Neodiprion lecontei: one gene and its partners. The protein of the gene in region 2 binds, or shares a complex with, the protein of the main gene of each other region. Links are inferred from orthologs where the notes say so. Each region holds a gene or a part of one and is shown on either strand. Other genes may lie near its edges.

What was found.
Region 1: DNA-directed RNA polymerases I, II, and III subunit RPABC3 (region 2) and RNA polymerase I-specific transcription initiation factor RRN3 share a complex: the UniProt entries of both Homo sapiens proteins name them as parts of the pol I pre-initiation complex. The link is inferred for Neodiprion lecontei from reciprocal best matches to the Homo sapiens genes POLR2H and RRN3.
Region 3: DNA-directed RNA polymerases I, II, and III subunit RPABC3 (region 2) and DNA-directed RNA polymerase I subunit RPA12 share a complex: the UniProt entries of both Homo sapiens proteins name them as parts of the pol I pre-initiation complex. The link is inferred for Neodiprion lecontei from reciprocal best matches to the Homo sapiens genes POLR2H and POLR1H.

Annotation. Positions count from the first base shown.
Region 1 is NC_060266.1:452,743-464,507, reverse strand, and holds RNA polymerase I-specific transcription initiation factor RRN3, read right to left. Parts: upstream 9,173-11,765; 5' UTR 8,982-9,172; intron 8,589-8,981; coding exon 8,385-8,588; intron 8,287-8,384; coding exon 8,067-8,286; intron 7,977-8,066; coding exon 7,865-7,976; intron 7,786-7,864; coding exon 7,633-7,785; intron 7,111-7,632; coding exon 6,607-7,110; intron 6,455-6,606; coding exon 6,276-6,454; intron 6,199-6,275; coding exon 5,759-6,198; 3' UTR 5,538-5,758; downstream 1-5,537. Other genes in the region: diacylglycerol lipase-beta, read left to right, coding at 1,531-1,625, 1,738-1,950, 2,088-2,410, 2,703-2,846, 2,938-3,106, 3,240-3,363, 3,446-3,589, 3,672-3,783 and 5 more. UniProt on the Homo sapiens protein: Required for efficient transcription initiation by RNA polymerase I (Pol I). Required for the formation of the competent pre-initiation complex (PIC).
Region 2 is NC_060266.1:1,949,771-1,960,626, reverse strand, and holds the start of DNA-directed RNA polymerases I, II, and III subunit RPABC3, read left to right. Parts: upstream 1-4,962; 5' UTR 4,963-4,977; coding exon 4,978-5,056; intron 5,057-6,983; coding exon 6,984-7,067; intron 7,068-7,855; exon of another isoform or gene 7,856-8,252; intron 8,253-10,411; coding exon 10,412-10,592; intron 10,593-10,856. Other genes in the region: protein UBASH3A homolog, read right to left, coding at 3,311-3,516, 4,717-4,857. UniProt on the Homo sapiens protein: DNA-dependent RNA polymerase catalyzes the transcription of DNA into RNA using the four ribonucleoside triphosphates as substrates.
Region 3 is NC_060261.1:29,555,067-29,564,704, reverse strand, and holds DNA-directed RNA polymerase I subunit RPA12, read right to left. Parts: upstream 2,218-9,638; 5' UTR 2,022-2,217; coding exon 1,898-2,021; intron 1,816-1,897; exon of another isoform or gene 1,715-1,815; intron 1,708-1,714; exon of another isoform or gene 1,603-1,707; intron 1,364-1,602; coding exon 1,138-1,363; intron 1,033-1,137; coding exon 1,008-1,032; 3' UTR 815-1,007; downstream 1-814. Other genes in the region: uncharacterized protein LOC107225988, read left to right, coding at 3,498-3,574, 4,157-4,493, 4,644-4,856; uncharacterized protein LOC107225986, read left to right, coding at 6,141-6,160, 6,228-6,564, 6,640-6,861. UniProt on the Homo sapiens protein: Core component of RNA polymerase I (Pol I), a DNA-dependent RNA polymerase which synthesizes ribosomal RNA precursors using the four ribonucleoside triphosphates as substrates. Can mediate Pol I proofreading of the nascent RNA transcript.

The DNA of each region.
Region 1 (11,765 bases), about 1.5 Mb from region 2:
AATGACATTAAATTCGTAATGTCATTAAATTGGTAATGACATTAAGTGTCATTATGCCGAAATGATAATCCAACACAATCTATAGTGCTACCAATTTAATTTGCGTCCGAAAAATTTCAAACGCGAAATAGCCGGTTTTTGAACTTTACTCGAAATAGCCGGTTATTCTACGCAACCGTCGTAATGATCACTGTACGTACAATTATACCTTTTACCTTCCTTTAATACTGCAACAGCAATTCAGGTAATATACAAGTAATTTCTGCTTGCACCATCATTTCTTATCACAGTAGGAAGGAAACAAAAAAAAAAAAAGGTTCAGAAGTTCTTTAAATTATAGGGTGCAAACAAAAATTGGTACTAGCCAAATGTCGTTGCAGTTTGCAGCAGCATATGCATACGGAGTCGTTATTTTATGGCCGTATCAGGCCCTAAAAACGATTTTTTCTTTGCTGGAAACTTGATTTTCAAGCCTTGACGAGAACCTACGGGCATCTGCCATACGTACAAATTCACATACACGCGCGGACACATGCGGTGCGTACCTCTTCGTTTTAACAAGCACACACTCCGCATCAGGATCAACAGACGCAATATAGGAATGATAGAGCGAACAGTTTGTACAGGTTGGAGCTTTCTCCGCGTTGCGCCAACTTTCACTATATTCCGTAATTTGGTACAGACGCACTTAGTACACAGCAGTCGCGGTTTTTACCATGTATCATACACACATATATGTATAAGTATCGTTAAAACGGTTTGACAAATTTTAAGGAAGAGACTGCTTCTTCATTTCAACGGCAGCCTCACTAAAAATCACGACGCGACGGTTGTCTTCGAACTTTACCCAGCTGCGGTGTAAATACGAGATCAAGCGCATTTCTCTGAATTATTTATTCATATAAGCAGTGATTTGTTGAAAGAATACGCAGGTGCAATTGGTGTGTCGATATCGAGCTACATGTGTGTATAAGCAATCATTTACGTCTACCTACAAGTCACAATTCGGCTTTGCGGTGTAGTGTGGTCGCGACGTAGTAATTAGTTAAACAAAGTGGAGAACCGTGGCGGTAAAATTTCACCGCTAAACTTACACGGGGCCGACAAATTTGAATATTTCGCATTAACGTACGTCGGCCAAAGAGCAACTCGGATTGTTTGCATTCCCTGTAAGTAATAATGTGCATGTCATTATGTAGAACCGGTTTTTAACGGGAGCGCGACGAGACAATGACAAGCATTTCTGTGATGATTTATTTATAATTCATGGAATTTTGCTGAAACGCAAAATGAAATCCTTCGCCGTAAATCCACCTTCCAACACTGCACTGCGGAAGAAGAGTTGGCGAAAAATCTGTGTGCCAGTAGCACGAAAAAATTTGTCTCCATTTCAAAGAATATCATTGACTGTTTACAGAATTCGAGTATTATAAAAACTGCATCAACGAAATTAGGAATATCAACGAGACCAGATTCAAATGGTAGTTCTGGATATTATTAAGAAAATGTAACTTTCTATTTTTTAGAAAAATGCCAGCCTTGAAATTATTTGGACGCAAGTGGTTAGCGGCTACTGACGATCTTGTATATCCCGGGCTATTCGAAATTTTCATTCGAATTATTTGGTAAGGCTTAAACGTCAATAGACATTTTCCAAATATTCCATAGAACCTGATTTACCTTGTGAATACTTAAAAATCCTCTAGACACGTGTCACAGCTTTGCCCATTCCCTCAGGTTAATCCTAATGACGATTGCGTGCATAAAATACTACGACGAGACTTGGAAATGCCGTACCGGTGGAGAATTAGTGCGTGTATTCCTAGCTGGGGAACTAACGCTCCTGAGCATAATCGCCACGCTGTTATTCGTCGTAGTAACCCACAGTTCGAAAGGGGCTATCACAGACACATACTCCCGTCGACTGGTCGAACCGCTCCTGACCGTCAAGTAAGCCACATAGGTCGCAGTTCTCAATCCCTCTCGCAGATCACCCGTCTTCCTTCAAGTATTTCCTCCCACCTATGGTCAACATGTTGTAGAATGAGTGTGGCTGAAAAACAGTAATACATACGTTGATGTTTCAGGGTACTCTTACTATTCCCCGAAGTAGTGTGGAACGTTCTAGGAACATTTTGGATATTCACTCGACACGTTGAATGTTCCGATGACAACTATACGATACCCGTCGTAGAAGGGCTGGTTCTGTTCCACTGGGTACTACTTGGCTTAACGATGCTAGGAATGGCTCTTGTGTTCGATCCTCTAGGATCTTTAGGCCTCAGAGATAAGACTTTACAAGATTTCGAGGAACATCGCAAAGTATCCAGCACGTGGATACGGAGGTTCAAATTTTTATGGTGGATGCAGCGAGACGAAAGTGCCGACGAAACGTTTCAACATGTTGCTGGTGAGACATAGGTACATATGGGTGAGGTTGTAATGTGATCGTTGTATGCGACGAAGCTTGCACCGATTTTGCGGAGCACCGATTATTAGAGATAGAGACTGCGTTATGTCATTTTAATGACATAAAAATCGAAGCTTATACTTCTCAAATTTCGCATAACATTGACATGCTTAGAAATGATTCGCATCTGGTCCGTTTCTGAGTAAAATAAGTCGGTTAGATATGTCAAATTACAGCGGCTTCATTTTTTCAACTTGAAAAAACGTAATTTCGTTTTCATCGTATGTATTAGGATTACTGAGCGCACTGTTTCGAGGCACAGATCTAGTTCCATCCGACGTTATGGCGGGCTGTATTCTGATGAGAGTAAGACAAAAGCGGGAGACTCTTGAATTGAGGCGGTTTCACATGTTAAATCGCCCAGTATATACTTCCGGTGAGATCAAGGCTTAAATAATATAATTTCTCTCATTCGATAGTATTCCTAATTGCTTCTATTCGATTAATTCTCTCCTAATTTGACGCAGATGCACGGGAAATTTTTCGTCTTGCACCGAGCTGGATGTCCCTAGAATGGGCTCAGCATTACATGCAGTTATCCGTAGCTTCTTACGCTTGGATATTTGTCATGTATCAGCATATGTGTACGGGCTGCTTCCGACTTGCCAAATACATGACTTGTTGCGCGTGTTTCAGGTATATTGAACTAAACTGTAAAACTACTGATTTCAGAAAGATGAAATTAAAAGTTTACTTATACAAGTTGCAGGGTGAACCTGACGTAACAAACTATCGCTAATCTTCGTTGTGACAACTTGGCTTGTTCTAGGCGGAAGCACAACGCGGTGATAGATGACAATTGCTGTTTGTGCAATCTTGCAGGTGTAAAATACTTGTCTCGACTATCAGAGGACGATATCTTATACGCATCGTTTCGGAACCATCTTTGCGAGGTGAATAGAAATGAAATGAACCAACAAACTGGAAAAAACATTTCTACGAAACTAACAGAATTTTTCTTCATCTTAACGACAGATACCTTTCTGCGTGGTTGCCGACCATAAAACTGCAAGTATCGTTATCGTGATTCGGGGATCGCTGTCTTTGCGTGATCTCTTTACCGATATTGCAGCAGCTTCCGATGTATTTGAAGCAGATGGCCTACCACCGGGTAGTATGGTACGTAAATTATGGCAAGTGAATCTTTTTCTTTGAAATTGGCACAATTTCGGCAAAAGTAACAATCAACGATTTATTACAGGCTCACAGAGGGATGATTATTGGTGCCAAGGTGCTATTGAAACAGCTCGATCAATCCAAGATTCTCACAAAAGCCTTTACCATGTACCCGCACTACAACCTCACGCTCACAGGTAATTGCGTACAACTTTCAAAAATGTATATCACACGGGTCTGAAATTTTCAAATATTTTCAAGGTCACAGTCTGGGTGCTGGATTATCCGTCCTCCTGGCCCTGCTGATTCGACCGCATTATCCGAATCTGCGAGTCTACGCGTTCTCAACACCAGGTGAGCGGATACCGTGGCAATTTCTTAAAACTTACACAAAGCGGATAGAGATGCTGTTAATTTGTTCCTGCACTACGAATGCGAATAATTTACCCCTAGTCATTTTCACACCAGAATACCGTCTAAAAAATTTTTATATACCTTTGACAAGTGCTTAATCGCAATTACCTCGTGTGTATGACAGCTGGATTACTTAGTCGAGAAGCTGCCAGGATCACCGAAGAATTTGTTTTCACAATAGGTCTTGGCGATGACCTCGTTATGAGACTCGGTGTAGACAGCATTGAAAATTTCAGGACTTCTTTACTTATTACCCTTCAGGCTTGCCGTTTACCCAAGGTAATCCGTATGCAATGTGATACTTCCATACGACATATGCCCCTACATCAATATCATTTGCGGCATGTCAGATTTATCGATGTATTGTGAAAAAGAAATACAAATGTTTCGCGCAGTAGTCATAAAAAAAATAGATTAAAGACTCACAATGATTTCAGTACAGAGTGGTCCTCAATGGTCTCGGTTATACTTTGTTCGGTATACCTGAGAGGGACCTCGAAAAGTTGTGGCAAAACGGTAACACAATTGGATCTATGCAAGGGCAACTTCCGCTCCTTTCCGATCCACCCACAAGACAGATGGTGAGTATAATTTAATAGCTCCTCTAGATCGTCATTAGATAGCAGCAGAAGTCTGAATTAGAATATAAAAACAATACATCAAGTGGTTATCAAATTCCTGTTTGACGCGTCTAATTTTTAAATGTAGCATTTTGGCAAATAATTATATTCTGGTGGTATTCCATTAACGAATCATATATCCGTTACCTTGAGTCATTCTCTAGTGCAATGCTCTTTCTTTTTTAAGGATGCAACGTTATTGGAACGCAATGTGGCTATGCGAAGGTACTCGAGCGTTCGATTATACACAGCTGGGCGTATACTTCATATTTCAAGGTTCAAATCAGCACTCAAGCAAAAAGACAGGTAATTCGCGAATTGAATATTTCACCTTTTAACGTCGTAACTATGTATGCTTTTTGATTGATAATAATCTTTCATTGATGCTAACTCAGAAAATTCACCTCTTTTGAGATTAATATTTCATTTGAGCTAAGATCCGATAACCAGCCTCGAGTGTATTACAGTGATGATAACGGAAGTGACAAATGTCGGTACGAAATGCGTTGGGCCCAAGCTGAAGACTTCATGGAGTTATCAGTGATGCCAAGGATGTTATTGGACCACCTGCCTGAAAACTTGGAGCATGCTCTGACTGTGTTACTTGGTCAGCAGGACGAGGCACCCGAGGACATTAGTATAGTGTAGTTCAATGGCGTTCAACCGCCAAAGTTCAGTATCACGATAAAGACTAACTGAAAATTGACCAAGAAAATCAGTATTTGTATATTTATACACATTACACGCAGAATTAAAAGATGTTCGAATCAATTTATACTGCTATCCAAATTATTGATCATTTGTAAAATTCATCTTTATGTACAAGATTACACATCAAGTTTACCACGCAATCAATTGAACTAAATCATCCCAATTCATTGCACAACGTACTGTACAGCTTGGTGTGCGACGCTTGATTAGAAATATTGCTAGGCGTTTAATGAATTTCTTAGAAAAATCTGTAGCATTTGGGATAAAATATTGAATGCGCACCAGTGATGTGTCCATATTTTAGTAGTTCCAATTATCAACAAATAAATAAAATACTTTTGTAATATAAAAAGATGGATAGGTACCATTTGTAGATATTTTATGACAAGACCTGAGACATTGCGAGTCCCTACATAGAATTGAATGTTCAGAGTTGTAAGAAACCAGGTGACGTTCCATAAGAGAAGACATCCATATGATTGCACGAGCTCGATAAAGGAATTGAGGTTTCATCCATAAAATCGTCATCGTCATTATCATCTCTGCAAGTGGTCAATGTTGATTCCTCATCGGAGACGCTGCCTTGATATACCATGTAAATCGAGGTAAATCTTGAGCCACTTCTCAGGAGAATGTAGGGGTCAAAAGGAAAGAAAGTATCCAGCCAAAGAGTGACACGATTGGTACTTTGAACGACGGGTAGATTACTCCGAGCATTGTGCTCGATTATTGTGTAACAGTAGGCCAGCTGGTAGGTGCGCGTTACAGCCGCAAAATTCCGCACTACTGCCGATTGGCAAACTTTTAATGGATTCAGTCGACAAGCTATAATCTTCGTCAGATTCAGGCTTTGAAGGAACAACAAGTCTGAAAAAATATAAAAGTTTGCAAGTGATGGCCATTGATGAAATTGAAATCTTTGAACTGAAATCATGTCTACTTACTTTTTCTAGTCTCGACGAGATGTTTGTGCCTGAAAGCAATGACGTAGAACATTGCCTGGCATACGGTATAAAATACCCCGTGCACCCTTACATCGCTATTGGCGCACTCGAGGCTATCTTGCGACGATATGTAACTGTGTATCCACATAGACATTTTCAATAACGTTGTTTTGATCATTCTGTAAAATTGAAATTTTTATTATTTAGGGTGCCTTGATAAGTAAATTTTAGAAATATCGCACTAGACATGTCAAGACTAGACCTGTGCAATTTTGAGGGATAAGTTTCGTAAAATAAATATAGAATTCACATTTATTAAAGATTGACATACTCAAGTTGAATAAATGTAGCTCTGGCGAGTAGACTGGCGATATAGGATACGGAAGATTGCCGTATAACAGGGGCAACGTTTGGGTCTGAGACTTTCTGCCACAGCCAATTTACAAAAGCTTCGGATACTGTCGGTTTAAAACTACAAATATAGAACATGATAAACTGTACGTGCTGACTGGCGTGCGTGGGCAATATTATTTGTTCAAACATCTTTAGGACATCGTGATAGAGACTTTTCAACGATTCCCAGTTGAGAATTCCCTGATTGTGGCAGCAGTTATATATATATGCAAGCACCTGCTCCATGCATACGTCCAACGTGTGCGCCACAGGATGTTTCATTTTTCGTATTTCCTTCTGTTTCTCATTTTTTATTGCATCACCCTGCACTTCGTCTAATGCGAATATGATCTGTGCCGCATCGTCACTTTCCTCCATATCTTCGTCATCTTCGCACTCGTCTATTTCCGATCGTGGCGCATAAACGTCCAAAACAATTAACCTGAAAACAAAACAGTACACACGTAGGTAATTAGATAATATATTCTCGTCATGGGGACAGCTTCTCTAAAACCACCTTCGCAATCTTCCTAAACTCGACTTGATCATACTTTAATGTCTTTGCTCCTTCAGAGCAAGAGAAGAATAGAAACTATTCTAGTCGTAACAGCATTCTCTTACATTTGTTTGCCAAAAAAAGTTTCTTACGATTGACTGAAATTGCCTGTCATATCTTTAATTTGTCCAGACTGAATATAAGTTTGAATTTAAGTCAAGGTTATCGATACACTCAAGGTCTATCGATACAATACAAGTAAAAAAATAACAATATTATGAATAAAAATACGTCCTGTAATAAAAGGTCATTTTCTAATCAAGTTTGATTTATATTTGGTTGATTAAGAAGAACAATCCCAAAAATATTTATAAAATAGGGATCGACCGATATTCACGATTAATTTATCTCCAGAACAATAGGTAATTCATATCGCGTCACGTTGCATCAAGGTCCGATTTCAAATACCTGTTGATTATCAGTGAAAGAATGTCAGATCTGAGATGTGGGGCATACTCCAGTATTTGAAGAAGGGCATATATGTAAATTTCATGTCTTTGCGTGTTGAGCCTCCAGTAAGGATAATTTGCTACAAGTGATTGTAACAAAACGTCGGTAGCCCTACAAATGAAACACAAGAGTTAGGAGGCATTATAAATAACTCGTCTGTCCGGTAGTGCATAAGAATTCATATTCTTACATGGGAATAATTTTCATAAGCATTCGCAGGACGTCATGCACATGCCTTAACGTTTGAAGATCCTGATTTTTTGATTTGGAAAATTCCCATTCCGTAGTATTGTCATCCTCTTCTGAAAATGAATAATGAGTTAGATGAAGAGGGTCGTTCAAGGTTGCAAATCAGTTATGGGTCAAGTCAGATACGTGACAGCTTGACTTACCAGATTTAAATCGATCTACTAGCTTGTCTATTATAAGCTTGGCATGATAGTTATGAGCAGATACTAGATCTTCGAGAAATCCTTTGTAGATTGTCGTTACTTGCAACGATCTGGTTGTCCAATTAAGCGTCAGCAGTGCCTCGATAAATAATCTATGTGACGGGCCAAGTAACGAGATACAAGCGTGTGTTTCTGTCAACAAATCTATCAACTCACTTTCCTGGAAACAATTGAGAGTTGTAAGACATGGCAAACAGATAGAAACTACGACTATGTTTAAAAGTATCTTTACTAAAAATTTAGTATAATGATACATACCCTAATTTCCGAGTCACGAATGGTACACACAAGATTTTCATATTGCTTATGACTTGTGCCACTTTCGAAGCTAAGCAATATATCCTTGAGATTTTTTGGAAGTTTGAATTGTACTCTGTTTGCCTGGTTTATAATTTTTGCTCTGATGCCTGGGCCTTTCAATATCGACGATACACTGCTGAGCCTTGACGAGGTCACAGACATCTGAAAATTTCCAGAATTGCCAATACTTGCAACAACCTGCGTTTATCATGCTCAGATACTTAGAAATTGACAACAATCGCCACCTTTACGAATAACTGAACGATCTCTAGTGTCAATTATATTAATGAAAAGATATTCCGAGGATACGAATTTTCTGATTCTCACAGCTTGGGCTGTCCTAGTGTCATGAAATACGCGAGCAAACATATGTAGGTATTATCATAAGATGAAGCAAGATGTTAACGACATAAGGTCCAAGTTATCGAATATTCGAAACCTGGAATTTGACGCTTGCAGACCAGACGGGTGAGCGACATTCGCGATCGCCATGTGATGGCTTGTGAGGTTAACGCCAATTTAATAACCGGTTCAAATTGTCGTTACGGTACTCACCTTTGGGCAGTTGTGAATGAAATTCTTTTTATCCAACAGGCTTGCTTGCACGTCGTATCGTTTCTTTTAAAAATTAAACGATTGCTCGATGAAACTGTATCACTATCTGTCCAAATCCGTACGAATTTGTGCACGAGGAGCATGCATCGCTACGAGCATCAAACACACACTGTTGGGAAGTGCAGACCCGCACATGACGGGCGGCGGAAACCGGAAACTGAGACAAATCAATTGAGGGTCTGGCAAACAGACTCCAGCTCAGAGTAGTTTTGGGTTTGATGCAGTATGAAATATAGTTTTTCGCGGTTTTTGAAAACATGTTTTAAACTACAATTATATAAACATATATAAGTATAGAAAAATATAACTATGAAGTTATCGGCGATATTCCTTTAGTGGTATGAAAATATGTACCAAACTCTAACTTCAGGGGGTGCCCTGGTCGATCGCGACGTGACGTATACTTATATACAAATATCAAAGTCCATATATCTCAAAAGCGAAACCGGGCTTAGCGGCCCCATTTTATGCACAACTCTGAAGAAACCCACTCCGCGCATTTTCATTTGACACAGAAATGTAAAAATGGCATAGATTCCACGAAACCGCAGTGGTAAATTCGCAGAATTCATACCATGAGGGTTCGCTATGCAATGGTATCACTTACCGGACTCTAAATCCCGTTTTATACAATTGAATACATACGAATAGTATAGGTAATAAGAATTGTTCTTCAATGAGGGAATAAGCAGCTGTATAAAAATCCAACAGTCTGTCTTTCTCCTTGTGAACTCCCGACAATCACAACTGACAAGTCTCCTGCAGTCGCAGGTGGTGTACAAAAATGCAGGGAATTGGAAATATGCGAGTACACAGGATTCTATTTTGATGAAGTCATGTATTATACATTTATTTTGGTATAACAAAGTCAGCTGAACCAGAAGTAATGGCACATGTTCGGTGTCATCTGCCTTGTATCCGGCACCTTTTTTGCTTCTCTCACCGTGGATGGCATTTATTCACTCGAGGGATTCCAACTTGAGTTCATCTCAATGGAGGTAATAGTCCGCTCATCCTGATGGATATCTGTTAAGAAAATTATATTAATACAGACTCTCTAGCGCAAAGTAAAGAATTATGAATTTTGTTAGAGAACGAGTGTACCTAATGCACTTCATTGACTAATTTTCGGCACGTGAACCGTCAAATATCAAGCATATATGTTTCTCGCGGCCTCGTTCTAATAATTTCATATCGAGAGCTGAACGACAACAAAAATCAGTCAATTTTGGAAAAGCATAGAATTAGAGATGAAAAAATGAAGAAAAAAAGTAAAAAATTGCCACCATTTCAATTAAATTTTACACGGAAATATCTGTACCCTAAACGAACCTGTGGCTTGTGGTTGGTGTGGTAGTACCATCCTGTTTATTCGCATTATTAACCACGCAATTTCCAGTAGCGCAATGTCGGAAGTGTAAGAAAACGACGGCATGACTCTAGCGCCAGAGTTCGTCAATTTGTAGCATTTCACAGTTTTCAGCCAATTTGAACTCTAAACGAACGCCAAAAGCCGTAGATAGCACGCAAGTAACGTAGTACAATACACTGTGTACTATTTATTGATTTCATGTAAATATGCGAATTATTATATAGAAAATTGATAATCAGCCGCTGAAGCAAATACTTGATAGGGGGCAAGTTCGATTAAATTGAAAATGCATGAATTACACACGGAGGTGTATATGTATGTATACAGTAGAAGGATACAGATGTGTACGTATGATGGCATAGAATTGCATGTATTCTAAAAACGGTATTAATGAAAAAATAAAGTGAAGGGCGCACGCGTCTCAACATACCTTTTCCCACTTCAAAGCCATCAGCTTTGGAACGGAAACGCAATCGCTTCACGCTATCCGGTTATTGGAGGATGATAAATCGCCAGAGTCTCTATCCGCATCTATCGGGCGCTTATAGGCAAGAGGAGACCGTTGTTTTTGCTCTCCATTTATAAGAAGATGTCGAGCGTCGCCCGTTGATATCCGGCTAATCCAGTTAAGCGCTCGCATCTACAGCCGGGCAACGCCAACGCTTCGTTTGCACTCTCGTTATTGCAGTATAAGTGGCCAGTTGATATCGAGCTAATCCAGCCATGCGTTCGCATAAACAAGCCACGCGTACAGACAAAGGTGACTGCAAATCGTGTTCTCTGGCAACCCAGGTCATTTTCCAATGGATTCGGACTAAACCGACAATTTTAGCAGTGTTTTTCAACAGCCACTTCATCGCTCGCATCCCAGGGCAACGCGTGGCCCGAGGCTAAGATCGATAACTTTGTATACCCAAAATTGGGATTCAATGGATTGCCTTTCTTGATTTCTATACTCCTTACATAATACACCCTAGGCACGATGTCACGATTCATGATTTAGATCGGGACGAGTTACATATTTTTTTCTACTCGTTTGAAATCTACCATGTAAAGAGCTGTGGGTGGGATACGTCGGATTTAATCATTTAAACAAATCAACGCCAATGTTGTCTCAAAAATCATTGGTTTTTTATCAATAATTTGGGCATTGTCTTTTCATCCAATGGCTCAGGGTATTAAAGAAGAACAATTTACAATTATTCGGCATGTGAAAATTCGATACAGCATTAAAGAATAAAAAATATACATGTATCGTAAAAACGGAAAACTGATTAAAACGAAATAAATACAACCGTGCACTACAGCATATCTGCGAATGACGAGTGAAATTATTAGTAAAGGGAAGAGAC
Region 2 (10,856 bases):
GTTTCGTCGATTCTTCTTCGGCTTGTTATTCAAACCGTATTACATAAACACAACCTGGTAATATGTGCGCGTAGGATAACCTAACATACCTAACATAATACACCTAAAACCTACGAATTAAACACGTCTCGCGATTAAGATCATAAGTAACATGTCGGATTGAATTACACACCGACGCGGACGTCATCATAATCATCGCCGTGATCTTCAATGCGGTGTCTCTCTTCTGAAATCCGACCCAACGATTTAACTTCTTTCTTTTTCCAAGCATCCTTTCTTTCTAAATAATACATGATCGCAAAATTTCCCGTTTTTTGACATATTACGCCGGTTCATCCACACATATAAAACACAGATTCCTGACGTTTTCTTCGATTCATCGATTATTAATCGTTTCCATTTTCCTTCCACGCAATAGGTTTTCGAATGAATTAGAAAATAATCTTTCATACAACTCGTATCGAGGTTTCATTGAAATATTATAACATGCAACGCGCGTCGCTACGACGATTTTGTGTTGTTGTTGACGTCGCGTATCTTCTCACGAGACATGGGATAATGTAATAAGATAAGATTACGTCTCGTGCAGATATATTTACATGTATATTGTTGATATTACGATGACACATTTCACGATATAAAATTATACGTGCAAATTATGTAATATTGTACGCATATTTTTGGGTCTTATGAAAATTGTTTTAAAAATTAGGGTGATAATAGTATTACGTCCAATATTCGAAACAGTTGTTTTTTTTTTTTTTTTTTTTTTTTTTTATCTTCACTAAGTGAACTTGTGATTTCTCGCAGCTTTGAATTCTCTCATTACAGACTAAAATTTATACACAGCTACGCGTCAAGCGCATGCGTATATCAGCGCGATGGAACCGGATATTATATTATTACACGTTATCCAACATCCAGCAGAAGTGGTAATCCCCCCTAATGAAATTTTCTAGATTATATACACAGAGCGGTATACATAGAAATTAGAGCCAGAGATTAAGGCTTAGATTTAAAATTAGAATTTATAGGATTTATGAAATCGGATATATTTTTTTTATTTCTTTCTTTTTTTTTTTATTCGTGTTGTCGAATTTAAAACGCGATTAAAATCCCGTGATCCGCTTAAATCCTTATTTATAGACGGGGGAAAAGAAATACCGGCTCGCTGTTGCTAAAACGTCATTACATCATGGAAATTATCAATGTTAACAAAATTCGGGAATTTGTTAATATCTAGGTTGGGTTAGGTCGGGCTTGGACGCCTACCACGTCTCTCAGCTAGGGGCTGGACACATATATACTCCATATATAGAGGCACCATGTACCTTATACCTACCTACTTCTCTGTATATTGGAAACTACGCAGAGCGCGATTCGCACGAGTGACGTGGACTACGGTTGCGACTGCGTATTGTACATGTAACGTATCTCGTACTGCATCAGCGTTGTTGCCAGTTGCCTGACGGAAACTGCGTCCCTGAAAACCAACCCCTTATTTACACGCCGCCGGCGTGAAACTAATGCCAAGACGCGACCTTGGAATGAGATCCGTTCACGGCGCCGTTTCATGCCGCGAAGAAACTGCACCCCGAGTTGATTGTAAAATCAAATAATTATTTGGCAAAACAGATTCTGCATATTATATATTGAAAATATAGAAGAGGCGAAGATTATTATCTCCACGAATGTTGGAAAACAACAGATTTCTCACATTCGTCATATTATCGAGCAATTTTCCATCACCGATTGCCGATGTTTTCGAACTAACCGAGTTTTGTTATTGAAATTGAAGGAGGAGAAAAGACACGAACGAAACTGTATAAATCATGATGTCACAGCAACGATACTCTGTTTTTCTGGCATACGTTGTATCATCGAGCTTTTCACACTTTCAGCTTTATCTGAATTTTTGCTCGGGTGTGAAAAATTAAACGTTTAACATTGCGGCACAGATCGCAGCGCCACTTGGCGAATCTGACAGAATTTCCCATACGATAGGAAAAGTGATTTCTCAAACTTCCTTTATTACCATTTCAAGTGATTTTGAACATTTTCAAATTCGTCGTAATATTCTGACAGTGTAGGTACCGGTGAGTTCCAAAGATTTTAGGTTAGAGGTGACGTAACGCAGCGTAATTGCGATTGCTGAAAACGTGGGGTACGGTAGAAAATCCGTAACAAACTCAAGGACATTAAAAATGGAATATTTTCAAGTTAGGTTGCCTTTTTGAGGGCAAGGAAAATTCAAGGACATTTCCTGGACCACCGGACACCGTGGAAAATATCGCCAAGAAAGCGTCACCATATGTTTACCTCAATCCTTCCTCATCCAGTACTTGTTCGAACCTTCCATTCGACCAAAGAATAAGAGAGAAAGAGAGAGAGAAATGGTCGTGGACGAGACGTAGTCGCGACGTGAAGTTCGAGACGGAAGGATAACACGGAATAATGCAGCACGCGTATAACCCAGTCTGGGGTGGTTGGCGTGAAGGAAGGGTGGTGTAGCTGCTGCACAGGCGGCAGCGCCGGACGGCGCCAACTCTTCTTTTGAAGGTCAAGGTTCCCGCCCCTCGTTTCGCGCACGTCCCGGGGGCGGCGGAGCTTCGCCGTGTCAGTGTCACGAGCGCACACAAACCCCCCCAAGACCATCCGTACACGCCTCGCCGAGGGGCTGTCGGGCTGAGAGTGGCCTCGAGGGGCGGAGGCGGGGGCGGAGGCGGAGGACCAGCTCGGTGCCCATAGTATTTATAGAGCCGGGCGACGATGCGGTCGATAGCGGCGGCGGCGGCCGCTGCGCAGTTCGGAAGACTTGCCGCTCCACCACCACCATCGTCATAGACTGCATCGTCGACACCAAGGTGGTGGTGGGCTTCTGCGCCTGCGTTTTCGCGTATGCACGGTAAGCCGGTCCCCAGAACATCCCGTTCCTGGATGGATCCCGGGGCAAACCCGTGTCGTCAAATCTGCGATGGAATCCCAAAGACCAGAGAATCATCGTAGCAAATTTAACCTTTACCATGTCTCACGTGGATGTGATCTTTGGTACTCGCGTGATAATTTCTCGTTATGTCAACATTTTGGATACAAGAAGGCGCGCGGTTTTTGTACCAAATGAATTATCGAGTTATCTAACTATTGGATCTTCGACTAGACGCCTCAAAGAACATCCATAATTTTTTTCAGAATTTTTGAACTACTTGGAATAGCCCAAGTAAGAGTAAGATGCCAAAGACCCAATGTCACAGGCAACGTGTACCGAACACCATATGACGGGGTAAAGGATGATGTTTCTATTTCACATTACCTGGTGCCGGATGTAGCAGTGCTCGCAGGACAACTTGGTGGTGGTTTTGTTTCTGCAGAGGTGGTTGCAGGACCTGATGCGGTCAGAATATTCATACACGAGAGTAGTGCGTCGGTATACATCGCGTCCGGTGGTCCTGGAAACGTCCTTGAATTTGACTTGTCCTTGAAAAGTACTTGAAACTGCCCTTGAATTTTTCTCGTGTCCTGGAAACGTTCTATTTTTAATGCCCTTGAAAAACCTGAAAATTTTCTTGAATTTGACTTCTCGTTCAAAAGTCCTTGAAACTGTCCTTGAATTTTTCATGTGTCCTGGAATTATTCTATATTTAATGTCCTTCGATAAGCCGAAAATGTCCTGGAAATATCGTCGGACTTGTTACGGATTTTTTCACTGAACATCATGGACTTATAACGTACGAGAATGACGACAGGGATTTCGGACGAGGAAAATGATCGGTGACCTTGAATAATCCTAGCATCGATTTTACCTGCAGGTTAATTGTCAAATATGGGTAAAGACTGAAAATGGATGAAGATTTCAAAGCGATGCTTTATGAATGTCGAGGTTTTTTCATTAGCGCCTAAGACGTTTACGTTTGTCGATTATCGTAGAGTAAACATACCGCTTTTACAATAATAACATGCGATGGTGCAGCGTGTAGTTACAACTTCGCGGAATGATTAATGCTTTATATTGTTCACTAAATAAGAATAAAATTTATGAGTTTTGACACGAGTTGATCGGCTGGTGTAAATCAACTTCACGTCAATCGAGATTAAGACGTTCGAAAAAGGATCGTACCACATGTCCGCGACGGTCGTAACTTGGTTGTATTATTGTCGATGCATCATGAATATATTCCTTAGCGATTTGTGGTCAGCGAAATCAACAACGCGACTTAACCGCTTATATTGTACATACACGCGTTATACATGTCGGTATGAAAAGGCAACCGCGTGCATGAACGATTCTGTGAAATGCTTCAAGGCGTTTGCCCACACGAAGAAAAAAGATGAAGTATTTTTATGTAAAAATATATACATATATATATTATATATATCGCGAAGCTTAGAATATTGCGTGCACAGCCGCTTGTAGGATATACCCAAGCTCATGTGTATAAATGAATAAACGTGTCCGATGCAGCGGTGATTCACGTCGCGGAAAACGAAGTAAAAATATCAGCCTTACGAAAACATCCAGCAACGAGAATTGTCGCATGTATAAGAAACGAATAACAAAACTCTACCCCGTACGCTGCCAGATGTGAAATGTAAGAAATGCAATCCATTACTCTGCGTAACTTCTCGCCCGGGCGTAACTTCTCCTCCGAATTGAAGATGATAGTATACCGGTATGCTGCAAATGATGGGATAACGATTTTTCGGAATCATTGAACGTACCTTCCAGGAGATTCCGATGCACTGCAAAACGATGCTGATGAAAAAAGAGGGATGTAGGGGGTGTACGGGGTGTACGTCACTTACATTATACTCCTCTCCCTCCCCCCCACCCCCCCCTTTCGTCGGTCGATTCCTCCTCATCTCTCCTCCACCTCCCTCGCTGCACACCGCGGGTCAGGTGGAAACGGGGTGCGAGGGCACAGGGGTTGACGATGGGGGAGGTGGCGTGGCGCAGGAAAGCAGGGCTCGTCAGGGACAGGGATGAACCCTGCGAACAGTTTCGAAACAGTCTCTCATCGGAGTGGTAGTGCGACGTTCGGAGAGGAGGAGAGTTGGTTATGTCAGTCATGTTACGTTATGTTATGTTACGTACGACGGTAACCGTGCAGGCCGCTAGGTACATACGCTGTGTACATATGTACTAGACTGTAAATAAGGGATGCAACTTGACGCGATTCAGACTGATCTTCTTCCTCGCTAGCGGCTCTCTGGGGCACAAACTTCGATACGGGGTAGGGTTTCCAATTTTTCAGGGACAGGCAGGGAGGCAGGGATATAGATTATAGATGGATGGGGAGAAGATATTCTCTCTCTATATCACTTCATGCATATCGTTCCAATACATCCTACCAAAATCGAAACGAAACGAAAGACAGAGAAATTACGATGAACATATCAAACCAATGTCACACCGTACGCGTTTCATGTCGAACTCTGGAGCTTTTTTTTTCTTCTTTTGGTTTGTTAGTTACGGTACTTGTTCAACAATATCATGCCAACGAAGTGTTTCGAGTCTCGTTGATCTCTACACTCGCGCAGCTTGGCTGGATAGTGAATTTTTTCAGCTAGAAGATGGACCCGAGGATCGATTACGCGCGACTTTTATACCTCGGACTAATTTTTCAGTGCGGACTGCGCCGGTTCTGATCTCGATAATTGACGAAGAATGATTTTTACTTGACGTACGAACGTGACTGTAACAAAATTAAATTGCACCCTCGGGTACTCATGGCATGCGATTTTTGATTATCGCCACTACTCGCTTGTATCGATCTGTCATTTCTGTCCCTGTTGTGTCGCGGTACCAGCTGGCGCAGCTTGATCCCGGATCCGATCCGATACGACATCTGTATCTAGGTGCCCAACTACCTGGATGTCGCAATCGATCGAAACGTTCTTTCTTCTCTGTTCGATTATACACGTTTCTTTTTTTCTTTGATTCTTTGTTGGATTTGGCTGCCTCGAATTCTTTCGTTTGAATTTGTAAAGTTAGGTTAGGTTAGTTTTATACACTCGTTTCACAGGCCTCATGACAGCTGTAATCCTCCTCCTTGACTTTAGTGTTTTCAGACCATCATCTGTCCATATCACGATAAGAAGGATAAAAATGCGAAGAAAATAATGAAGATCGATTTCAATTCCAACACTTCATTTTTTTCGGGAACAATCTTGTGAACATGAATCGAAGAGTTCGTTCATTCGTCGATTCATTTTTCTGATATTTTGACATCGTCTGAAAAAAAAAAAATCAACGGACCAGTCTGCCCGTTTCTTACCGTTAATTCGATTTATAATTACGAGATCCGCATTCGGTTTTCAACATCTTTCAACCCGCTTCCAGAGTATTTTTCTATCTCGCGGTACGGTTCATTCTTCCTTCCAACGTTTTTCGCCGCTATTGCGTCTTGCCCGGTAGCTGGTGGAAGAGATCGATGAGAGGTGAAAAGAAATGAAGAAAAACGTTACAGAAGGTTGCCAGTCGGGGGTGAGGAAACGCCGAGGGATGTTTAATTTTTCTCTCGTAACACTATCCCTACTTTTTATCCCTTCCGTTTCCCTATCCAGGATTCTATCTCTTCTTCTTTATCCTGACGAGACGGCGGCGCTCATAGTTTCAAGTTGGGGTATCACAACCCCGTTTGTTGTCTTCTGGGGTTGGTGGTGGGGGTCGAACCGTTGCGTCACAGCTGTCAAGGGCAGCGCCACCTACAGTACACACCTACACCAAGGTTCTTCATCTTCTTACATCTTCTTCGTCGTTTTCCAAGCAGTAGAAGATCAATTACGGCACAAGTCGAGTCGGTTTTTCTCGCCCTTCGTTGTTCCGCACTTTTCGGTTTGCGCATCGAGTTATCGACGAGACGGAAATAAAGGATCTAGATAATTCTACCCTGTTATAATACCCTTCGATTTACGCTCACTGTGTAACCTGTTTCATTTCACTACTCGAATTCTCATATCGTACAACTATGTTTTTCTCGTTTCAGTTACCAGGCTGCATTGCGAATCCGAGTCCTTCAAGATGGACCTTATACTGGACATCAACAGTTGGCTGTACCCGATGGAATTGGGTGAGTAGGATCTGTGAATGTTGCCGAATGTGTGCTGCGTGTAGTTCGCCTGTAGCATAATTCAATTTTCATTCAATCGAATCCAATAAAGAACCGCTTCTTCTTGATCTCATATAACGACGCTGATATTACGCAACGCGTACTGTAATCCTGTGCAGCCACGACTCATCAACCCTCTTTTTTCTTCCTCATTCTCTTCTGCTTTTTGTTTTATTGCAAAATACAAACCTAACGTACAATAGAAATTTTCTCATCTGTCCGACGTTAAAGGGTATCCATTTCTTCGTCGGCAGTTTAACTTTATCATCATCATCATCGTTCCGACAAAAGGGGTGAAATTGCGTTCCAGTTTAATAAATCGTTTCACTGTTATTTTCTCATCATTTCGTTTTACCGTCGATATTTTTTATCTCACCACCTTCAACAATTGCGCACTTGCATAGATAGGTACAGAGAAATGCCTGTTCAAGTGGTATACATGTAGATAGAGAGAGAAAGAACTGTCCGCACCAACGAGACTGAAGTTAGTAACGTTGACTTCAAGAAACCGTCAGTGAAGAAAAAAAAAAAAAATCATTACCCTGTAATTTCTGAATGACGTTCAAGAAGTTGACTTCTCGAAATATACGAGTATGTTTGATTTCTGTTTTTTCCCCCCTCATCACGGTTTAATAAATTTCAAAAAATCCTAAAATTGCGAAGCGTTGATTTTCCCCGAACATGAATCGTTCACCTTAACGTTACCAACATCATCCTCGTTCACGCCGACAATTTTGCAAAAATCTTACAACAATCAATGATCTCGGGGAATTCCGATTCCAATATTAATTGTCAGGCAACCAATTACACCCTCCCTTCGTCATCGTCATCATCTTCATCTTCATCGTCGTATTGACCGTACCCACGTACGTACGTACACAAGTATCACTGATCGTGAGATACCTGAGGCAGCCAGTGTAAACTACAGTGGTGGTGGTGGTGGTGGTACATCAGTAGTAGCAGCCATGGTGGGCTAGGCCGTCCGACGATGGTGAAGCCGAGCGAGGCAGGCTTGGCCGGCAGGCCTGCGTGCTGTATTGACGTGCGGGCTGCGAGGCTTGCGCGGCATGACGCAATCCCTCCTCTCCCACCCCCCCAAGCCTCTCCTCCCGCCCCGATTCTTCCTCTTCCTCCCCCTCCCTCCCATCCTCCCACCCCGTCCCTCCCCGACTTCCCCGCACTCCCAACCCCCTCTCTCTCTGTCTCTCGTTCTCCCCGCCACGCGCCGCCGCCACCCCCGAGAACCGTCGACTGCGTCGCCCCGCCGCTTCCTCGTCGCCCCCCATCAAGTTCAATGCCAAGGTCATACCGCCGCGCTCAGAACGACGTCGAGTGCTGGCTCGGACGCCATCGGCGCAGCTTCGCTCCTCGCTGCTGCTGCTGTTGCTGCTGCTGCTGCTGCTGATACTCATCGTCGCTGCTTGGTTTTTCTACCCCACCCTTGCGCTGCTGTTGCCGCTTTTGCCTGCTGTTGCTGTTGTTACCGGTGACGATTGTGTGCTTCGAATTTTCGCGTCCCTTGGGTTCACGTATTTGTGCTCACATACTGCGATTCTGCTATTCTGCTGCTTCTGCTGCTGCTGCTGCTGCTGCTGGTGGTGCACCTGAAAAACCACCTGCCCGACGACAATACACCGTTGCAACGTACTCTTTCTCTTTCTATATATTTATATATGTATATTGTATGCCTATTTCTATTTTATGAAATTTATAATCGTTTTTATTAAGCCTCTTTGACTAATTATCATTCTATGTTTATTTCTTTATTTTTCTCTTATCTTGATATTATATCTATGTGTACAGGCAGCGGAGGAATGTAATTCTTTCAATTTATCGTATTCTAAAGCACTCGTCTTTGATGTTTGTATCGACGTCTGGTCGGACGATGATTGGGTATCATTGGAAATTGATTTATTGATTTATTGAAAATCGAGGCTTGCGAGGTTTGTGGTTGAAAATTGGGAATTTAGGGTTAAAAATGAATATTGATTTTAGAAAGTTGAGATCAAAATTTCATGTCGACTGTTCTCGAAATTGAAAATTAGAGCTTTATAGTTCATGGTTAATAATTAAAAGTTGAAAACTGAGAAGATTGAACATTTTTTTTTTTTTTTTTTAATCAAGATCACATACTGTAACTTTGTAAAATTTCGTATTTCAAGTTGCAGGATTTGCATTTGAAAATTTTATACACGTAATAAAAATTCGATTGAAAATTGAATCATGTTCCGCGTGTATGTGTGAAATTTGTACGTAATATATGATTTATTCATGTTTATTTTTCATTCTCATTTGTCGATTACAACAAATTACGTGCTTGTTCTCATAATATTCGTTTGTTTCGTCAAAATCACGATCGTGTCTCAGTCATTATTATTATTATTGTTGTTGTTGTTGCTGTTGTTATTGTGATTATTAATGCCCGTCATTTTCGCGCGCAACAAAATCGCTTACACACGATATACGTTTACATTATATACAATGTTGCGCAGCTGATCGTTCGAATGTAACTTTGCTTACCGTGCATGGATATTGAATAATCTTTATACACAAATCTCTTCCCGTTTTATCGAACATACGCGAAACGCGAACCACACCTACGTCTGCACTCGCGGTGAAATAAGAGAATCGAGAAAAGAAACAATACGGAAAGAAAATACAGGAAACGAAAGAAAAATAATAACGATTGTGATAAAACTGCGGTGTACCGGTTCTCATAAATTTTTATTGTTTGTATTTATTTTTTTCAACTTTCTTTTACGCCGTCTTCCGTTTTCTTCCGTTTTAGATTTCACTCGATCCTTGTACTTTCTTTGTAATTGTAAATTCCGCTGAAATTGCGCGAAAAGCAAATGGAAGAAAAAAAGAAAAAGAAAGAGATTAGTTAATCACATGCAATCCGTAATGTGGAAAGAAAAATTTCCAATGATCCTCTGTACACATTAGATATATGTATACATTGTACGACACGTTTATCAATCATCAACAAATTTTCAAACGCGTCCATCACCTTCTCTAAATTGTTTTTCTCCATTTTTCTGATCCTGTTTTACTTTCTTTTTTTTTCTCCTTCCTCCAATCATTTTGCTTGCACAAAATTTAACAAAAAAAAAAAAAGTAATAATTTTTGTCGCGTTTTAGAGTTTCGTGAAACACGACGTACGTTTCCTTTTTTTTTTTTTTTTCTTTTTTTCTTCCTACCTTCCTATTCCTTCGATTTTTTTCGTCACTTTGATGCGGACAAATTTAAGCGTCTCGTTTTTGGTTCTGTCTTTATATCGTTCCACTTCGTATTTCAACTTCAGGTGCGAAGTTTCGTCTGGTGCTCGCGACTACCTTGAGGGAAGACGGTTATCCGGACGGTGGCGAATGGAACGCGATCGAACAGGAAGGCGGCTCGAGGGCTGACAGTTTCGAATACGTTATGTCGGGTAAAGTTTATCGCATCGAGGGAGACGAGGCAAGCAACGAACCCAGCAGCAGACTGTAAGTAACACGTATTAACTTTTATATTTTCAAAATTTTCCTTACTTTTCTTCGTTATTATACTTTAGACATTTATCTCTTCGTACACGGTGTAAAAATGTGAATCTGAAATTTGTGGACATATTGTTTAATTATGTTGGTATACGTGCACGTACGTTGAAAATGTGAGAAACCCATTCTCGGAATTAAGTCAACGAAATCGGAAATATGAACGAAAATATTATGATGATGAAGTAATTAGAGAGGTAAAAAAAAAAAAAAAAG
Region 3 (9,638 bases), on a different chromosome or scaffold from region 2:
TATTATAAATATAAATAAATAAATATTGAAAGATAAAAATTATTATTAATAATAATAATAAAATAATAATATTATTGAAACATCGCCTCAACTCTACAGATAATTTTTCCCTATATTAAAATTGTCGGCACGTTCGTATGTACAAGAACGCTATGTAATGTACAATCATTTTTCAATTCTGAGAAAACTTTCTAGCAGCTATTTGTCTCGTTGACTACTTTTTTCATTCTATCTAACTTTTTTTCATTCTTATATGGTCCTGATCGACAAAACCGCATATCTATGGGCTAAAAATAAAAAAAAGTCGTCGACTTTGGATCGGCTGCAAAACTTTATATGTCGATCTAATCAAAATATACGTTACCGTGAATACTACTACTACTACTACTACTACTACTACTAATAATAATAATAATAATAATAATAATAATAGTAATAATAATAATAGAAATGATAATAATAATTGATAATAATTCATTGTTGTCAACTATTTGAGGTTTTTATACAAAGGACCACTGAGCATTATCGTAAAAAAGGGTGAGATTTACATAGAAAATAAATAAACTATAATAGTAATAGTTGAAGTTTAGCTCGTTACCCAAACTTGTAAATACAAGAAGAGGTACTTAATTAAAGTACGAAAAGTGCTCTGAGCATTGTTAAAGTAACTTTAATGAATAAGAGTAAGAAAAAAAGGGAGAAGGAATAAGTAAAAAAATAAGAAAAACAAAAACAACCCTTTAGTATTATAAACAATTGCTTGTAATACCCATTATTAATTATTTGTTAAATGTAAAATAAATAAAGTTCTATGTTTTATTACACGCATGATATTTTTATTAAGTCAAAATATTAACGCTACATTTGTTGTTCGTGTATAAAACGAGGCATGTGGGTGAGTATAAATTGATGTTCGTATTGGGTACAAGGAAACGTAAATTACATATATAATTAACTATAAACTAAACCTTAATACGCAACGGTCACCTCGCAAGTAATTCGAGAATTTACGAGTTCTCAGTTTCCTTGAATCTGAAAGAAAAATAATTTCTGTTGAGTGACAAGTTTAACGCGTGTGAATGCCGTAAACAATAATTGAATACGAAATTTTTAAGTAACAAAACTCAAATCACTTACCTGCACTTGGTGCAAGTGTAGAAAACTGTCTGCCCTTCATCGGCTGACCTGAGTTGTAGCGTTGCGTAGGACATCTTGTCATTCTGACACTGAGGGCACCTCCTTTCGACGACCGGACCTTCGGCTTCGTCTTCATCGTCGGCGGCTTCTCCCTGCCTTGCCGACGAAGCATAGGCGTCCTTACTGTTGAAATTGAGGGTGTACGACACTGCCATATCCCCGAAAACTGTAAGAGCAAAACGAACGTACTTAAATAAATGTAAAATTATTACAAACACACATTATTATTTAAATCGAATAAGGAACCGATTTTTTATACGTTCATGATCCGCGATTGCAATCGGAAACCAGCTTAATAATTTTTTAATCCAACATCAAAATTCTATCTGGTGTTTATACTGTTCGATTTATTCAAAATACCATCTAGTTTCTCTCTGCATCTGGTACGTTCTAGGGAATTTGGATATTTGAGCTTGCACTCGAACCCCTCGAATCGCCATCGTCGTGCGTCACGTGAATTTGAATAATATCGTGCACCGTTAGATTGGACGAATTTACTCCGAAATTTAAGTAAGTACGAGATCCCGTGAATTTAGCCTGGTGCGTTGATCAAGATATTTCTATTTCGAATCCGACATTGGATATCCACCGTATTAACCTAGTCTAAACCAACCTAAGGTAATCCAACGCGAACGTGAATTTCAACCCTCGTGGCGATTCCAACGATTAGTGCTAGAGTAGTGTTGAAATTGTTTCTAACCTTCTATTCCCCAGTTCCGTTTACAGCTGTAGCAAGCAACACCGCCGACATTTACCAGCAGCGGTAATATCGATCCGCAGTCAGGGCAAAATCCGGGATCCGTCTTGAAGGTGACGGTTGACATTTTTCCTTACTTATTTGTAGCTTGCTCGTCGTCGACTCGTCAACACTTTGAGGTTAGGATCAAAACTGTCGAGTGTCATATACAACCTGCGTAACGCCGTGAAATGGCAACTTGTATTACTGATGCGTTTTGGTTGCATAGCCGCAGGCGCAATGGAACACTTGTTGCTCTTCGCAACTTGTAAGTCCCTGAAAAATAGCCAAATATTTTGCAAATTGCCTGTGACGTCACGAAAATTAAGATATCTGATGTGAAATTTCTGAAAGGATAAATGAAATAAGATTAAATGGAATATGTGAATAGATAATTGAAGATTCAATGATACCAATTTTCGTATAGGAGTCTCACATAACATATGTTATACTTATATTGTATTCTTTCACTTGTCCGAATACGATAACGATGCTTTCATGAGTTCGTAATCTCCAATACCACCTTTAGAATCTACAAAAACATATCATAATCTATCATGAGAGCTAATAAGTGTATTAATATTTGCATGTATTATATGTATAATTTCGATCAAATCGATCCACGAATATTTTTCAAATTTCGTAGTAACATGCGGCTGAAAACTACTTCAACACGTCATGCTCATCCCTGTTGCGTCGGCGTACAAGGAAGAAACTAAACGTTTCCTTGTAGATAATTCGGAAAGGCAGCCGACAGGCGGTAGTGATGAAGTTCAATAAATCAACGAAGTAATTAGCGTCGGAAAAGAGTGATTCGTTCGCAAAAGATTTAACAATCTTGAAGCACAGACGTATTATAGTCATGAGGGAACTCTGATATTGTGGAATAAGGTAAAATGCAGTGACATCATACATATTAGAATCAATTAATTTCACTGTTTAATTTTAAACAAAAATTTGATGATAGTGGAATAGACCAATTCATTTTTATTTATCGGGTATCGGTAAGGAGGGACATACGCACCAGAAAAATTTGTTCGCGGTATCTTTATATCAAACCGCTGCTGGTATTGGCAATTAAAAATTTTATCTTCATCGTGTAGATCGTGAGGTTTTAGAAATTTAGTCGACGTCGTAAATGTTCCTGAGGATATGCAGATATACCAGTAATGGGATATTACAATAATATTACCGGATAATGACACAAAGTGAACAAGAAACAGAAGTATAACTACACAACACGATTAGATAGGAGATAGACGCTTAGAATTATATACATAACAACCCGTCAGCTGACCTCATACATAGATTTCTTAGTTGCGTAACATCCTTCGCAGTCTAAATATAAATCGCTGCTCAAGTCAGGCTGTCGTAGATTACCGGTATTATTTCTCGTTGTAAATGTACCGGGAAAGGAGCAACTGGTCGTTAGTTTCACAGTCTTATTTCGTCTGTCAACGCGGTCAACTCGGCCCTTACCTTATCTTGCTTTCGCGTTTTTATCTGACGGAGATTAATTTACCAAAAATAAGTTCCCATCTCTTCGCATAAAAACCAGCCCGAGATGGCATTGAACACTTGCTTAATAATTACAGGCACTTTTCTAATCATGGGATCTGCTGTCACTTCACAGGACGAAAGGTAAGCTACTATTACACACATTCCATGTCTATCATATCTCTTATCTAGCGTATGACCCATAATTAGAATATAATTTATATTTATTATTGAATTAGGCGAAGGTTTCGTTACAACATTGTTTCATACCAATCATCTTCAATCGACAATGTGCGTAATTAATGCCTAGTTGTAGATGGTGGCTAATTATTAATTGATCTAAAAAAAATTTGAAATCACTGTTACCAAATATTTGATTCGTACATAAATCACAGGCTCCATTCGAAGCCCCAATCCTTCATACTGTCGAACATTCAAGCCCAGAACATCTTGAGAGGATTTTTGTTACACGCGCGGGATACTTCGGAAGAAGAAAAAATTAAATACACTCTGGAGTAAATAGATTTCGAATTACCTTCCGATGGTTCTGGAGTAGATAGATAGTCGTGGATAGATTATAGCCGCACATTCCGATCGCACCGAGCTGTTCATCAAATCTCGCTATGTTTCTCCTAGTTTTTTATCATTTTCAATCATGATATTTGCTATTATTGAAAAAGACAATTCTCCGAGTTGCTAATGTCTTGTTTTTTATTTTTTACAAAGCATCAGTCTCTCATTGTTCGATTTTACATCGTCAGACAATGTCTCCGATTGGACGGAGCAATCAGACACGGTTAGAACTGTCGGCAAATCAAAGGCAGTGTTTGTAATGCAAGAAACGCAAGAGTTTCGAAGAGCAATATTATTCACGCTTCTCAACCCTCAGTCAAATGGAGCAGCATTTGCAGGCGTCAGAATCGAGACGGTCATGAATTTTGTCGGGCTTAGCACTATCCATATAAACTGCAGAGCTCAGGGCAACAGTACTGGCTACAAAATTGTTTTGCGTCATGATGGCGAGAACAACGAGCCCTATCCAACTTACGAGCAATTCTTTGAGGTAAATAACCGACCAGCAATATACGTATTGCCATACGATTTTCATCATTTCTTGAATTGTATTTCAGGGACCAGATTTCAGCCGTAAATTTATTTATTCAGGGAAAATTCTACACTCTTATTTGCTGAATAATTACCTTCTGATTTTTAGGCCCCCATGTCGTCGGAAGTATTTTCCACGGTTTCCTTGCCTCTGGCAAATTTCACAGCTTACTACAGAGGCAAAGCTGTTCCCAACGCAAAACCTCTGGACATAACAAATATCACCAGCTTCGGGTTACAAGTATACGGGGGTGTTTACGGAGCCATTCATCAAAGTGGCGTTTCTTCGCTTGAAGTTAACACTATCGATGTTTCGTCATAAAACGATACTCCTCTTAACAAGAAATCGATAAATATTTTTTGAGATACATAAACACTTGATAATGTGAAAAATATACGAGCCAGAAAGTGCATGCCAATATTAAAGCTCTATTTTTGTACTACTAGAATCGAAATATAAACCTCATTTAGGACAATTTTCTGTTCGAACTACTGTAACAACATACGTAATACGCATACTTGGAAAACCTGTTTGATCAATAAAATCTGTCCTCGAGGAGGAATCCCGATCAGATTCTACACTGTTTCGTATCACCGACAGTTGTAGCGCGTTTTCTTCACAAACATTATTTTACATGTAGAAATAAAAAGAACAACTTTGTTTCGCTGCAAACTTTTTAAAATACATTTTTGGCAAAATGTATCCTGACAAGTAATATCTATTGAAATACGAAAACTGTCGCGTTATGTGTATATACAGTGAAAACCTGATGACAATGACGTCGTGTGAACGCACGTGTACCTCAGAATTTACCTTCACCTTATTTTCAAACGAGCCGGAATCCTCGACCGGACATACATTGTTTGACACGTACCTATAACACACACGTAGTACGCGAAAGCTAAATTGAGGACGAAATATTATCTACCCAGTACGTTAAAATTGATCAAACAATTTTTCCCAGTCGATCAGAGGTTCCGTCAAGCTAAGGAAGTCAAGCTTGGAACTCCTCAGGAGCGATAGATAGTTGAATTGAATCCAATCATCCACCGCGGTTGACGTTTACTAGCAATTCCCATTGTCGAATTATAGTTAATTAAGTGACAGCGTATGATCTCGCAACAACAATGTTTCACCACGCGCGTAACTTGCAAGCTGTAATTTCTGTTTTACCCTTAAATCCGTGGTGGAGAATTTTCGTCGTCAGCGATTAATGAACCGTTTTAATAAATCAATCGTTGTTATGCTAATAAGAAAATCGAGCACCGGGAATTTGTCTGTGAATATCGTCGTTGCAAAGCTCTTCCCTGGAGACGTATACCGCCTACGAATCTATCGTGACTTTTGAATGTCAGCGCGACACGCAAAGACCCCGCTACCCTCTTTCCACCCAAAACGGCACACAGTTCAAGAATCACGATTCCTACTAAAACGTCTCCGCTCCTCCCTTCTGTGGGGAGTAGAGCGAGAGCGCACAGCGAACTTCTGCCTCGTGCCTGTAAAAAGACGAGCAGCTCAGAGACCATTGCGACTTCGACCCGGACTCCAAGGAGATCGAGGAGACACCCGGTCTCTCGGAAATCATCAAACGACACCGGAAATGACATGGTCGCCACTGCCTCCGGGTAAGCATTGCCAATTTGGTAAATTTCTAAAGAGACGCAGCTTCGCTAAGTTATCGCTATTCCCCAGAACGGTGCAGATTTTGTTCGACTTCACGCGAGGCTCAGACCAGGCCGGAAGTTGGTCCGAACACTCGGACACCGTGAAACCATCCGGTATGTCGAAGGCGGTGATGGTTACGCAGAAGACGCAGCAGTTCCAGCGAGCGATACTTTTCACCCTGTTCAACCCACAGCCAAACGGATCCGGATTCGCGTCTGTCCGCTGTGACACCAGCTTTGATCTCTCGGAATTCAACAGCATCACCGTACGCTGCAGAGGCCAGGGAATCAACACCAAGTACAAAATGCTCCTCCGGCACAAAGGGCTCGATAAAGACTCTGCCGTCTACGGTCAAATATTCGCGGTAATTATCGGCGCCTCCCAATTGGTAATGGAAAAGGTCACGACACTTTCGTTCTTTCTTTATTTTTCAATGCAGGCCCCCGAGAAGGAGTTTGCAACAGTGAGATTGCCCCTGGCTGAATTCAAGCCGTACCATCGTGGGATGGAGCTGTCGTTGCAGACGAATCCGCTGGATGTAACATCGATCACCAACGTTGGATTGAAAGTGGATAACGGACAGTATCTCCCGGAGAATCAACCAGGTGTGGCAGCTCTTGAGATTGATTGGATCAAGGCCACAAAGTCAGCTGCAACTTGAGCTGCTCACAAAACGATCGTTAACTGAAATGAGAATTACCTTATTCGCTACATCAGATGAATGCGATTTCGAATCTGAGAAATTTCACGTGTTGGATAAATCGAGACGATAAATGCACAAGTGTTTTAGTTTTTAATTGCGATGCTGAGGTTCAATATTGTACACAACTGGGTGATTTTCACCTTCGCGTGCAAAAATGAAAACTAAATTTCAATTGGAACTCATACTGTTTATAGAATCAAATTGCCCTACAGTATACATAAAGTTTATACGTTTCATTTCAAGGGATCGCCATAACAAATTGTTAATTCCTCAGTGAAATCTTTGACGTGATCAATATTGATAACATGACAACTATTATATTATCCTTGCATGTGTGAATGAATTTGGTCTGTGTTACAATAAACATATCGTTGATGAATCGTTGATTCAGTCATGTACAGAACCGAACTTGACTGTTTCACTCGTTTCGCTATGATTTAGGCACAGTAAATCCTGTGAATGAATATTATACACGCAATATTTAAAGACCAGAAGTCGCAAGTTACAGAATTATAGGTATGTAAAGGAAACCAAAAATAAACATATATTATATTGGAGCGAACTGTAGAGAAGAAATATAAAATATTTTAAGATAATATCTGTATGATTATCAATGATGATTTTTCATTGACGAAATACTGTTGCGTCGATAGGTATTCCGTTTGACCAGAAAAGAGTTTGTACACCACTGAAAGAATCAGGTTAGCGAAAAATTTCATTCTTACAATTCGCACGACTGTCTATATCGTTGTATAGACAAAAGCATTCTAATGATTTATTCAGCTGATGGACCTCATTTATTTGGTACACACAATGAAATTTCAACGGTTTTATAAACAGGTAAATCAGGCATACAAAGAAACAGTGGTGGCCCGTTCTGATTTTTCTGGAAATTTTATTAGTTGAAATTGATGCTTGAATTCTTTCTTCGTTACGCTACATCGACGTGAGTATGCAAGTGCAATCGATTGCAGGCAATCCGGATACGAGCAATGCGAGCATGCGAGCGATGGATCACGAGTTAGAGCCAAAAAACGGAAATCTGTTTACTTGTCATATTTTAGCTGTTCATCGTTCCTTCGAAATTTCCGTGCTTGCATTTTTTGCGGAAGCTTTCGCGATTCTGGAAAGTGCTGGAATAAATTCTTTGATGCACTTTAACGACGTAATTTTGCGAAAGGAATCGATTGTGGAGAATCAAAAAACGCTGCAAGCAACGGATTGAGAGTTCCTAGCGAAAGACATAAAATTTGTTCCCGGTTTTCAGAACACAGCATATCTTTTGGCGAAAATTTAAGGGATTTTGAAAAGTGCTGAATTGATTCTTTTATGCACTATTCCGGCGTAATTTTGCGAGAGGGATCGTTACTTCGTTACTTCTTTCGTGTAGATCCCACGCTCTTTTCGCTGCGTTTTCTAAGTTCCTGAGGGTCCAATTCGTCGGGACAGGGTCATACAAGTCGAATCTAAGACCAGAAATTTTTGGCTCCAAAAACAAAGAAAAACGTGAGGCTAACCCCTTTGCATTTTCGGCGAAAATTTTCGCGATTTTGAAAAGTGGTGGAATTAATTAATTGTGGGGCTATTCCGACGTAATTTTGCGAGAGAAAACGATTGGGCGCAGTCCCAATACGCTGCGATCAACGCATCTTAAGTTACAGCCAAAAAACGGAAACCTGAATTTTCGACATTTTTCGGCAGGTACATTTTCCATCGCAATTTCGCTCCTGTTGATCTCACGCTCCTCTTGCTGCGTTTTCTGAGTTCCTTGGGGTCCAATTGGTCGGACAAGAGTCATACGAATCAATTCTAAGACGAAAAGTTTTTTGGTCAAAAAAAAAGGAAGATTAACCCCTTTGCATTTTCGGCGAAAATTTTCGCGATTTTGAAAAGTTCTGAAATTAATTAATTGTGGCACTATTCCGACATAATTTTGCGAGAGAAAACGATTGGGCGCAGTCCCAATACGCTGCGATCAACGCATCTTAAGTTACAGCCAAAAAACAAAACCTGTGTTTTCGACATTTTTCGGCAGGTACATTTTCCTATATAATAAAATTCATCATATTATTGATTAATTAATTATTTATATTAATCCTTGAATAGTGTTTTTGATGTGTTCTTATACTAAAAATATTCATTACTATTCAAGGTATAACCCGAGGTAGTTCGCGGTGGTTGCGGGTGATCGAGGTGGGCGAGGAGGAGGACGAGGATGACGAGGACTTGTACACTGTGAGTATAACATTTTTATTATATTCATTAGAGTAGGAGTAGGATCAGGAGTAGGAGTAGTGGGAGTTGAAGTAGAAGTGGTAGAAGTCGGAGTAGGAATAGGAGTAGTCGTAGTAGTAGGAGTTGGAGTAGAGTAGGAGTAGAAGTAGATGTATGCGGGGAGGGGCGGGTAGGGAATATTATCATATCAAGTTATCAGTAATAAGCAATTGCGGGTAAAATATTAGCTTACTTTTGTAAGTATTTATGAATATAGCCTCTACGAATATTCATTGTTGGTATAGGTATAAGGTCTGGCAACGTACCTACTTTCTGTAAGAGATGTTGAAGATTTTCAACACAATTATGTTTCAGTTCTGTGCCCCACCTAGTGATCCACTAGTACATATCCTCCGACGTGACATCGCTCCGCTACGTACGAAGAAGAAAAGATTTATTAGGATGCAAATTGCTCCTCTCTTCTTGCCATTGTGCTTTCAGCCATTGTTGTGCTGTGTGTT